Oryctolagus cuniculus: one gene and its partners. The protein of the gene in region 2 purifies or fractionates together with the protein of the main gene of each other region. This does not show direct contact. Links are inferred from orthologs where the notes say so. Each region holds a gene or a part of one and is shown on either strand. Other genes may lie near its edges.

Region 1 (3,644 bases), on a different chromosome or scaffold from region 2:
TGTTCAGCCCCTCCTGCCCCCGTCCTCAGAACACCACGCTGCACAGGCCAGGCAGGGACAGGATGCTCACAAAACCGAGTCCTAGAACCAACTGGAGCAGTGTGCAAAGCTCAGCTCTGGGCCCTCCCCTCCCCTGGCCCCACCCTCTTACCAACACAGGAGACGCCGTCCTGGGCCAGCACCGTTCCGTGGTCACAGAAGCAGATGACCTTGTGGGTCTCCGGGTCCATGTGACATTCGTCTACCTCACAGTGACTGCAGTTTAGGTAATGTTTAATATTCACTTCCCCATGGCCCTCCATCACTGTGACAAGGAGGCAGGGTCAGTCTTGGCTGAACCTGGGGAGTGCACCTTGCACCCATGCCCAGCCCTGGGCTCTGTCTCTAGGGGTCTCGGGGGGGGGGGTGATTCTTTGGTTCCCAGTCCCAGTCCCACTGCCACTGGGAGCACCGCTCTGTCTGGGGCAGTCTTCCAGTGCATCTGGAGTGTGGCGCTTGGACAGAGGGCAGGTGGGTGTCCAGGGACACGAGCAGTTTTATGTGACATGGGAGAGTCCTCATGCGTGCCTCTGAGGTGGGCTGGGACAGGGACATGGGCTGTCCCCGCTGCATTTTCTGGGAGTGTCTAGGGGACAGTATTCTGCCTCCCTGTCTGCATTAAACCACACAATCTGACCCCCAGAAGCCCGGGGCAGGAAGTCTTGTCTGTGAGAGACCCCTTGTTGTCCTTTGTATCCTGGGCTCAGAGGGACCCTGGGGTGTCACCTTGCTGGGGGACCCACACAGAGGGGTACCTTTCAAAGCTGGGGTGTACAGGATGCCCAGTGGACTGATAAATGAAATCCCATCTTCCCCATCCATCTCAGGGTCATTGTTTGAGGCTGCGTTGCCGCCTGTGGCAAACCAGGGCAGAGTTTAACACAAAGGGGTGGGCGTCACAACCTCCACACACATGCGCAGAAGCGGGGCGTGCAGCTTTGCCCAGGCCAGGGGTCCCTGGGGGCTCAGGGGCAGGCGAGGTGGGAGGGAAGGGAGGCTCAGGGCACAGATGCTGCCTTGGGACGAGGGCTGGGAGCGGCTGGGAGAGGCTTGGAGAGGCATGGACCATGTTTCCCTCCAGGCTGTGGCCTGCTCCAACGGGGGTGGGAGGGTCTCCACCACTCTGCTGGAGTCCCCCTAGGAAGGAGTCAGTGTGACTAGCAGTCTGGAAAGTTCTCGAGTGCCCAGGTGGGGATGCACCCTCGGCACCCACTTCAGGCAGGGGCAGGAGAGAATAGCTAAGGGGCTGCTCTCCAGTCTCAGGGGGTCAGGGTTTGGCCGTGGGGCCATGAGCTCTGTGCCTGGAGGCTCCCGTCCCTCCATTCATCTGGGGTTGGGTGATCTTGGGACTCCCCCCCAGGGACTCCCTCCCGCCCTCCCTCTGGGGCTTGGAGAGGAACAGCATGTGGGTAAGACAGCATCAAAGCCAAACACAGACACGAACGTCACAGTGCGGGCATGCATTGTGTCCTAGTCTGGGGGGCGGGACTCGGCCTCCCAGCCTCTCAGCTCTGGAAGGCGCTAGGACACAGCTGGGCCAGTGGCCGGCTGCTTGCTGGGGGCTGGGCTGCGGCTGCCCGCAGTGGCCCTCAGAGTAGCTCCCTTTGGTGAGCAAGCGAGCTGCGCCTTCCTGGCAGCTGGTGGCTGGAGCGGGGGAGGGAGAAGGAGGGGTCTGGGCCACCGCAGCTGGTCCCTGAAGGAGCTGGCACGGCCCAGCCATCCAGAGGGAGGCCTGGGGATGGGCCATCCGGGCTCTGAGGTGCTCAGGCCAGCGAGTCCTTACAGGTGGCTCCGAGAAGCACCCGGGAAGCCAAAGCCCCTTGATGGTTGGCTTTGGGGGAGATCAAGGATCCTGAGGGATCTTGATGCTGACTCTAGGGCAGCCTGGAGGCAGGGTGCTCGCTTGGAAGCCAACACGCTGCCTCTGGCTGGGGGTGGCGTGCAGTGACATCATGGCCCACACCCACTGGGGCGGCCGGGGAGGGGGGGAAGGGCGGGAGCAGACAGGGAGGTGAGGTGCCTAGGACTAAGAGGGGGAGGGAGTGACACCTTGAACACGAATCATCTTTACCTATGTATCCTCCGCCTCCTCCACCGGAGGAGCACCCCCCTCCACCCCCTCCGAAACCCCCTCTTGTCTCCCACCCCCACTTCTTCATGGCCTGGGGGCAGGAATGTCCTCCGGTGGCTCCCTCCAGCAAAGACTTTCCAGCCCAGAGCAAGGAAGTGTTATCATTCCAGCCACCTCCGCCGCCTGCGGGGAGAGACCAGAGGACACCATGAGGTCGTGAGGTCATTGGTGGCTCGGCTCAGCCCGCCCTGGGGAAGGCAGTGGGACAGGCGCACTTTGAGGGGAGCCCCCACCCATGCCAGTGCCCAGGACTCTCTCCAGCGGGGGGGGGCCCAGGGGCTTTGGAGCCCGCATCTGGATAGCCAGGGGGTGTGCCATTGGCCCCAGGGAGGACAGCGTGCCTTGTGCCTCTGCTGCCTGTCTGCTCCCTGGCACAGAAGCAGGATGGGACAGGGGGCGGGGCAGCAGGACGCCGAGCCGGCTCCTCTGCTTCTCCTCGTGCCTGCCAGCCCCTGAAAGCACTGGGCCTCCATTCTCATTGTTTCCTCAAACCTCTTCCTGTCCCGGCAAGAACTGGAGCCGCCAATCTTGGGGCGGCCTCTGCACTCAAGCCCAGAGGGCATTACTGTCAGTGACTGGAAACCACGGGTGGAGCCTCAGCTTCTTCATCTGTCTCCTTGGGATAATGAAGACCCATCCTTGGGGTTGACGTTAGGGTCAAAGGAGACGGTGAGTGTGTGAAATCCTTACACCCAGCCACGTGTGAGGATCACGGGAGCTGGTCAGGCAGGACGCAGGCACGTGGAGGGCCTCACACTCGGCTTGTGCTGCTCTGGGCTGCTCAGAGGTCAGGAGTGGAGGAGAGGCAGGGGTGGGGGACATCGGGGCAACCATGGCAGCCACTGGGGAGGGGCTTCCCCACGTGTGAGGTGCTCTGAACTCTTGCAGAGCAGATGTCTGCCGAGCTGAGGTTGGATGTGGCCATGGGAGGACCCCAGGGATTCTCCCCCTGCCGCTCTGCCCCCGCTGGCCCTTGAGAATCCAGGATTATCCACCACTCCAACATTGTTCCCTATGACCTTGCAACAAGCATCCACCCCCAACACCCTCCTGGGAGGCCTTCCTGCTTCAGCAGATGACAGTGGTGGGGGGCCCTGGAGGCCGACGCAGAAGGAACCGAAACAGTAGTGTGCGGGACGGCTGGACCTGAGTTAACTGGGTCCGGGAAGAATCTTCAGCTGCTGAGTTTCCCCCAACCCAGAGGGGGTTAGCAGAGGGACACGGAGGTGGTGGGAGCTCTGGTGGAGGTGGCTACTCTGCTAGGGTTCAAATCCAAGCTGAGATCAGGATCAAGCTCGGTCGTACGACAGGGACAGGCGGAGCTGGGCCTGCAGGCAGGTGGAGGGACTCGGTCAACTCAGGGCTGGGTGACAGATGTGGGTTCCACAGGGCGGGGTCTGTGAAGGCTGTTGATGTCACTGCAGGAGGACACCTCTCTGTTCTGATAGGGACCTGATGTGGCCTCTGGCGGCTG
Region 2 (4,227 bases):
GCTCACCCAGCCACCTACTCCTTCCCATCTGACCTCTGCGGAGCCACAGGGAGGCCTCCTCACTGTGTTTTCTTTTCTTCTTCTTCTTTTTTTTTAAACAGGCAGAGTTAGTAAGAGAGAGAGAGACAGAGAGAAAGGTCTTCCTTCTGTTGGTTCACCCCCCCAAATGGCTGCTATGGCTGGCATGCTGCGCCGATTCAGGAGCCAGGTGCTTCCTCCTGGTCTCCCATGCGGGTGCAGAGCCCAAGCACCTGGGCCACCCTCCACTGCCTTCCCGGGACACAGCAGAGAGCTGGACTGGAAGAGGAGCAACCGGGACAGAATCTGGCGCCCCGACCGGGACTAGAACCCGGTGTGCCAGCGCCGCAGGCGGAGGATTAGCCTAGTGAGCTGCCGCACTGGCAACCTCACTGTGTTTTCTTTCATCTGTTCTTTTCCTCTGGAGCCCTCATCACAAGTGTCTTTACAGAACAGAGTGCTTATTTGTTTAAGGTCTGTTAATCCCCCGAGGGGCTGGGCTGGATCTCCTGTTCTCCTCACGCTTCGCAGCTCAGCGACAGCGGCACTTTGAGTACAAGCCACGCTCTGACCACTAATGTTCTGCCAGGTTCCCTGTGCCAGTAGCCATCTAGCCTCATGCCCACTGACTGCTCACCACCAGGACTTACCTAAGCCAGAGGCCCTCTTGTGAGGCAGAAAACAGAGGTGGATAGGTTCAAGTCCCCAGTTGTGAGTGACGTGGCCGCTCGGTAAGTCATGTAGAACTTCTCTGAACGTCCTCATCAGTAAACTGGGGACCAGTGTCCCTGATTAGAGGGTGATTATGAGGACCACGTGTGATCAGGATCAGCCTGCCTCCCACTTCAAAGGCTTGTCACTAGGTGGCAGTCCATCTCAGCTCCCCCGCTGGCCCTTAGTTGACAGGAGCCTAGTGCTGTGAGCCTTAGGGGCCACACTTGAAGGAACCAAAAGTGCAGGAGCATGCACACACACGCAAGTTACTACCACCGCGAGATAGTCAGAGGCAGCTCCACACACCTAGTACTGGGTGCGGTTGCCTGAACACATGCTCTCCTGTCCTCACAAATCCCAACTCACCTGGATCTTTCTCCGGAAAGCTCTGCTGGGCCGCGCCTCTCTGAAATGCAGCACCTGGCGCAACACGTGTCAGGCATGCCTCCCCATGACCGCAGATGTCCTCAGTTTTCACAGCATTCAGGAAGACGAAGAGGGTGAATGATTCCAGACAGAAGCCTGCTGACGGGAGGAGAGAGAGTGAAGAAGCCAGGAGATAGGAAGGGGCCAGGCCCATCAGAACCTGCTGTGTGCCACTCAGGGCGGGAGAATAGTAGACCAGAGGTAGGTGATCATGGTTTTATTTCTTTTAAAAGATTTAAACATGGAGAACAGACGCAGGTGAGAGAGGCCACGGCCTGGTGGGCTTGCAGGCAAAGTGAACAGGCCTCGGTGGATCTGACCTGGGGCAGACAGAGGAATCGAGGTTACTGGCCAGGTTTTTGGCTTATGCAATCGAGAGGAGTTTGGTGCCATGTTCTGAGAAAGCGAAGGCTGGGGAGCCGTGTGGGAGTGTGGGTGAGGCAGCCGCATTAGGTAGCAACGTGGTGCGGACAGTGGGACGTGGAGGTGGAGGCACTGGTACCGGCGCACTGCGTGAAGTCAGGTCGCTATGGGTACTGGCCCAGGACAGAGTCCAGAGCGAGGTCAGGAAAACCAAAGTTCAGGAGCGCACCTGCAGGAGGGGTGTGAGGCAGGGCCTGAGCCCGCCTCACGGATCCGACCTGCGTCCTGCCTCGTGGGGAACGAGGGCGAGGAGCAACGGGCAACGCCAAGAGAGGGAGAGAGACAGGGCCGCTGGGGGCTACAGGTCAGGTCTCCAGACAGCGCGGGCGCGGGTTTAACGAGCCCTGCGGGGGATGCTCACGCCCGAAGCGCTTCTCCGAGGAAGGGCACCTACGCAAGGGCAGGACGGACGTGGGGTTCGCCTTCGCAAGGGCGGCCTGTGGGCCAGCTCTGCGCGGGCAGGGGGAGGGGGCGGGACAGAACGCTGTCCATCAGAGCCCGCTGACCAATCCTCGGGATGCCCCGCCCCCACTCCTCCCCGAAGAGGGCGCGCGGAGAACCCGCCTCCGCCGCCGCCGCCGCCGCCGCCGCCGCCGCGGGTGTGAGGCGGCCCGGCCTGGCCCGGTTCCCTCCGCCGGGCAATTCGCCCAGGTAATTGGGTTTGGCCAGGCGGACCCGAGGGGCGCGTCGCACCCTCACATCTTCTCCAGGTGGCTGTGCGGGCGGCGCGGAGGCTGCGGTCGGGCCTGTGCGGGACAGTGGGCGGGTGGCTTCGCGTGCACGAGCGCCTGACTGACGGGCCGGTCGGTCGCGGGCCTGCAGCCTGTGGGCGGGGCTGCCGTGCGTGACGGGGCCGGTGGAGGCCCCGCGCCCTGCCGGGGTCGCGTGAGGAAGCTCTGCGGGGCCGAGCGACGGACGGATTGCTTGAGAGCGGGGCGTACCATGGCGCCCCGCGCCCCCGCTTGCGGCCTGGCCGGGGGTCGCGGGGCGCAGGCGCGGTGGGCCGGGGGCGGGGGTCCTCCCCACGGGCGCGCGGGCGCCTTTGTTCCTGGCGCGCGGGCGGGGCGGATCCTCGGGCCGCCCCGCCTTCGGTGTTTAGGCTCCGCCCCGTGTCCGCCCGCAGGAGCCGCCGCCGGGTCCCGGTCGCCGGCCGCCTCAGCTGCCGCCTCCTCCTCCTCCTGCTCCCGGCTCCTCCGGCTTGTGCCGCCGCCGCCGCCCCCAGCGTCGGAGCCATGGCGGGCGCCGCGTCCCCTTGCGCCAATGGCTGCGCTCCCGGCGCGCCCTCGGAAGCCGAGGTGCTGCACCTCTGCCGCAGCCTCGAGGTGGGCACCGTCATGACTTTGTTCTACTCCAAGAAGTCGCAGCGGCCCGAGCGGAAGACCTTCCAGGTCAAACTGGAGACGCGCCAGATCACGTGGAGCCGCGGCGCCGACAAGATCGAGGGGGCCAGTAAGTGCCGCCCCCGGGCCCGCTGCGCGCGCGGGGCTGGCGAGGCGCGCGCGGCCGCGGCCCTCCCTGGCGACTTGGGCAAACTTTGGGCTCTCCCCACCCCCACTGGACCCGCCCCCGCCTCGGCTCCGGTGCTCACTGGGGGGCGGGGATCATCCAAATCCTCGGTCACCTGATAGGACGCCCCCTCCCCCGGCTGGGGGGACTCCTCCAGACGTCTTTCCCTGAGGCCTAAAAAATCCTGGCGGACTGGAGTCCAGCGGGGCAGGCGTCGAGCCCCTCCAGTCCCGGGAAGGAGCGGCGGTGGCGGGCGAGGGGAGCCAAGCTGCGCCCACCCTGCCCGCGATCGGGGCCCGAGGGTCACTGCCCTCCCCCTCTGCAGAAAGAGCGGTGCGAGATTCCCTGGGTCCCAAGGCTGGGCTCTTCATTGCAAGGGAACCTTTGGGTTCCCTGGGTAAAAATTAGGCAGATGTTGAGGTAGGGCTGGTTTTGAAACAGGGCTAGGCCTGCTCATCTGCTTGGGGAGGGAGAAGAAGGTGGTCCTTTCTGTCTTGGCGAAGCCTGAGAAAGGCCGCTTTTACTTGCTGCTGCTTTTGTCCCAAAGCTGAGTTTTTGGAGGCCTATGCCGGTGCCCAAAGCCGGGGCAGGCTCTTGGGTAAAGGGGCTGTGCCCTTGCACTTGGAAGCACCCACCTGAAGCTTGGCCCCAGACAGGCCAGTCCAAGTGCCTTGGCGTCAGGTACTCCTGTCTCAGAGCGGGTAGCCTGTTTGGGGTCTAGCCCTTTGTGTCCTGTGTCCGGTGGCCACAGGGAGCCGACAGTGGCTCCCCCCTTGGTTTCCTGCCTCTGTGCCTTGCCAGGCCTGAGCTTGGCTGCTTTTGCGCAGGTCTCTAGTGGGAGGAGGGGGTTAGGGGATTTTGAAAAAACCCCAGATCTTTCAGTGTGTTACTGCACTCACTGCATGCCTGAGCTGTGGCCGGATGGGCACTCAGCTCTGCCCTCCTTTCTCTCTCGCCTTCCTGTGTGAACAGATGATGTTTCTGTAACCCCAGGCTGTGGGTTGTTTCCTCCAAGGACCCCCCAGAGATGGGTACTAGAACCAGGGGCATGTGGAGAAAGGGGTCAGGAAGCGACAGCCCTGGAGAGGCTCCCACCGAGGTTCTTGGGTCTGGTGTGCATGCGTGTAGATGAGTGAGGAG
Region 3 (3,644 bases), on a different chromosome or scaffold from region 2:
AAGCTATTACTTGCCCAGCACCAAAACAAACGGGCCCAAGCCACAGGTTAGAATACAGCAAAGGTTATAAGGAATGAAAATATAGTGTGATAAAACCTCAAAATGAAAACACATTATTCATAACCTGCCACAAGATTCAGATAAATTCTAAAGCCAAATCATACTAGTAAGCTGCTCATTATACTCAAAATCCTAAGCCTACTGAAAGAAATGCGCTATAAAATAGGAATACTAATGCAACTCTTAAAAGTCCATGACATAAGGGCCTCAATAGGCAATTCCAAAAATAAGAAAGAATACCCACTGAGTTTTGATAAGGCTGTAGGGAGCAAATACATTGCAAAAGCTTAAATTTTGCTCCAAACCTACGAAATATGGTAAGGGGTGACAGTATGATCTCAACCATACAAGCAACAATTGTTCAATCTGAAATGTGATCACATGTGGGTATTTTAGAACCCCTTTCACACAGGCTGAGGAGATGGAACCATATAGTGCATGGTGATACCTGTATCTTTTAAGGTCAATGAACTGATTTGCAAGTGTGGGTGTGGCAAAATCAGCAAGAAGTGGACTGCCTTCACAGGTGATACTCGGCATCTTCATGGAGGATTTGATCAGGAGATACACTGTTGGAAAGAACTTTCAGGAAGCAACTGGCTTCCTGTAGCCCTTCAGGTTATCTTCCTCATAAGGTGGGGTGAAGACAAAGACCCCACCCATTTAGCAGAAGGTGGAGATGATTTGGTCTGCTCTGTTGCCAGTACTAGGCTTGCTAGAAGGATGAACTAAGGTGTCTACCGCATTATGCTTGATAATGTGATCACTTAGTAACAGTGACTGCTCCCGAATACATTTTTCTTTTAATGTTTACAGTGAAATAAAGTTACATTTTAAATCTTGCTCATTGGTCTTTATATTTAAAAGGGAGAATATAATCTTCTCTGTTGGCTAAAAATGAAAGCTTTTAAGTTCATTTGTTAAAAATAGAAAGTCCAAATATTAAAACATAGCAAGTGAAACAGAATCTTTATAAGGTATACACTGTTTTGTAAAATTATTTAAGCTATATTTCTGTATCACAGTTTGATTCATAAAGTATCAAGATGTTTTTACCTTAGCTCCAAATTCCACAAGATTTGCTAAATTCTGCACAGACTTGGCCACTAATATCAGTGTTCTTGCAGCAATAGGAGATGGTGAATCTGTAGGAGAATTGGCCACAGCTACTGACACAGACTGCAAAGGCACTTGCAAATAAACCATTATGTATTTACCGGTTACTGCTGTTAGTAATTCAGTAACTCTTAAGTTTTTGAGAAAAAGCAGAGCTACACATGAAAACCTCAATATATTTATTAGTACTTTAGCTTTATGAAAAGGGTCCTCTAAAAACTAGGTGGTGGTATCAAAGCTTAAGAACAAAGAGATTTTTGACACCTTTATGTGGAGGAGAAAAACATGCAATTTAATAAACATTTACATAATGTAGATAGGATAGAAATGCAAAGTATTGTGGCTATTAAATACAGACTCTGAAGTTTAGAAATGACCTGGCTGCCTGATTTTGGATTATACTGTCTTAAGGCACTAAACTAAATACTATGGAATAGTGGTTCAGAGTCCAACATTCAGGTACATCTCTCCAAATGATCTTTAATTCTTAGCTGATGAAATGCTTGAGCCCGTTAAGTAGCAATAAAAGATATTAATGGTAACTCATCATTGTATTCAATGTCACAAACATACCACATCACGTTTACTGGAGTTTAAAATGGCCAATGAACATCACATTGTCTATAGATACACACACAACACTCCTGCACCTGTACATGGAATTTTATTTTGATCTTCAAGTAGCTCCAGCTTGAGTAGTTTTGCATGGGCTAATTACAGAGAGTTTGCCACCTTGAAAAGCCAAGTTACAAACTCTTAAAATATCATCCTAAGATTTTTGGATACAAAGAGGTAGATAAAAAATGGAATGCATTGAATCTTGCCAGGTCAGGTTTCAGACTACACAAAAGCTAATAATGAAGGAGGAAGAAAAGGGAAGAGTACTTTAGAATGTTTTAAACCAAGTCTTAGAATTTGATCATTTGCAATACATTTAAAAAGTGATTATTCATCTTAAATAACATGAAATTGCTTCTTTTAATCAAAACTTGTAAAGATTACCTGAGATGATATTAAACATCCGAGGATTCAGAATCGCAGGACAGATAAGCCGCAGGAATACAAAACCACTGAATACCAGGTAAAAAAAAAAAGTTTTAGAGAACTACAGATATTATATGAAAAGGGAATTTAATACTCAGTTATTTTAGGCTACTATTACATTCTATACTTAGGGAAGCGGCATCCTTAGGAATCAAACATTTCTGGAATACTACAGGAGTACCTTTTATAGGCATGTAACTTGAGTAACATTCCAAAAATCAACCTTTGATTTACTACATCTGAAGTATTATTCCACCATACTTAATAAAATTCCTTCTAGAGTCTAACATAATTGTTAGTCTTTCTTCTCTGATTCGATAGCCCAAATTCTCTGCATTTGCTAATAAAAAGTTAGTTAGCCAAGTGGCACATATTTTAATATCATAAAAACCTGAGTATGTTACTTTTCAAACAGCATTTATATTCATGGCAATCACATAATTCTTTAAGCATTTTGATACTTAAGTATGTTATTCTGCAAACCTCTTAACTGTGCTGAAACACTATGCTTATAATTGTTTTCTGTTCCCCCCATCATCATGAAAGCCAAGAAAAACCAAATCTACACTTCTTAAATATTTATATCATAATTAACCAGGAGATTTTTACCTGCTAGGATTAGAAGCCCCTTGACAGAATATAGGTTGGAGGCAAGATTAACACACATTTTCAAAACTCATGGTACATACTGGCATCTTTAGTGGTTTCCTCTAGGTTTTCTCAGATAACATGACTGGCAGTATATATTCCATATAATAAATCATTAGAAAACAGTTACATTCTCTGAGACTTTTGCACTATGCTTCCAGTTATCTTCAACTGGTTAGGGTATGCTTAACAAAAGCCTGCAACAATGTTATGGATATTGGATTGAGTTTCAGAAGGTCTCCTTTAGCTCTGCTTCCGCCACTGACTTTCCCTATACATAATCTTAGACAAATTATTTACCCTCTCCAGGTCTGCTTCCTTATTGGAAGAGTAAGAAAAAGAATAATAATCAAGTCTTTTTATAAATTCCATGAGTTGCCAAAGCAGTTCGTAATAATTGCACAGTGAACATACTGAAGCACAGTTTCAGAACTAGAGGCTCTGACGGGAGACTAACCAGTTACAGGTCGTGTTTCAAGCAAATTAATGTCTAAGTGACTCAGTGTTCTTCCTTTTTACTATGAAATCAGTCACGCATACTGCGTATACAGAGGGTACTACATGAAGTAAGCTACAGATTTTGTATTTAGCTTTTAACCTCATTCAGTAAGACTTAACTGACAAGCATTCAGGTCTGTATAAAATGTAAAAGTAGCTAAATGTCTCCTAATAACTTTGAAAAAGGCAGCTGAGTATTTCTGAGTTAGATGGCCCCTCAACAGGACTTTGACATTAAAAAAAAAAGAAAGAAAAAGGCCTTGATTTTGTAGTGTTAC

The links.
Region 1: the proteins of PLCG1 (region 2) and ALK purify together in Homo sapiens (affinity purification with western blotting; 3 studies listed by BioGRID, with this or other methods). This does not show direct contact. The link is inferred for Oryctolagus cuniculus from reciprocal best matches to the Homo sapiens genes PLCG1 and ALK.
Region 3: the proteins of PLCG1 (region 2) and RASA1 purify together in Homo sapiens (affinity purification with western blotting; 3 studies listed by BioGRID and IntAct, with this or other methods). This does not show direct contact. The link is inferred for Oryctolagus cuniculus from reciprocal best matches to the Homo sapiens genes PLCG1 and RASA1.

Annotation. Positions count from the first base shown.
Region 1 is NC_091433.1:173,776,434-173,780,077, reverse strand, and holds part of ALK (ALK tyrosine kinase receptor), read right to left. Parts: intron 2,294-3,644; coding exon 2,111-2,293; intron 894-2,110; coding exon 795-893; intron 305-794; coding exon 152-304; intron 1-151. UniProt on the Homo sapiens protein: Neuronal receptor tyrosine kinase that is essentially and transiently expressed in specific regions of the central and peripheral nervous systems and plays an important role in the genesis and differentiation of the nervous system.
Region 2 is NC_091442.1:17,799,406-17,803,632, reverse strand, and holds the start of PLCG1 (1-phosphatidylinositol 4,5-bisphosphate phosphodiesterase gamma-1), read left to right. Parts: upstream 1-1,343; 5' UTR 1,344-1,359; intron 1,360-2,106; exon of another isoform or gene 2,107-2,232; intron 2,233-2,276; exon of another isoform or gene 2,277-2,291; intron 2,292-2,704; 5' UTR 2,705-2,813; coding exon 2,814-3,030; intron 3,031-4,227. UniProt on the Homo sapiens protein: Mediates the production of the second messenger molecules diacylglycerol (DAG) and inositol 1,4,5-trisphosphate (IP3). Plays an important role in the regulation of intracellular signaling cascades.
Region 3 is NC_091445.1:10,286,925-10,290,568, reverse strand, and holds part of RASA1 (ras GTPase-activating protein 1), read right to left. Parts: intron 2,247-3,644; coding exon 2,179-2,246; intron 1,206-2,178; coding exon 1,117-1,205; intron 1-1,116. UniProt on the Homo sapiens protein: Inhibitory regulator of the Ras-cyclic AMP pathway. Stimulates the GTPase of normal but not oncogenic Ras p21; this stimulation may be further increased in the presence of NCK1.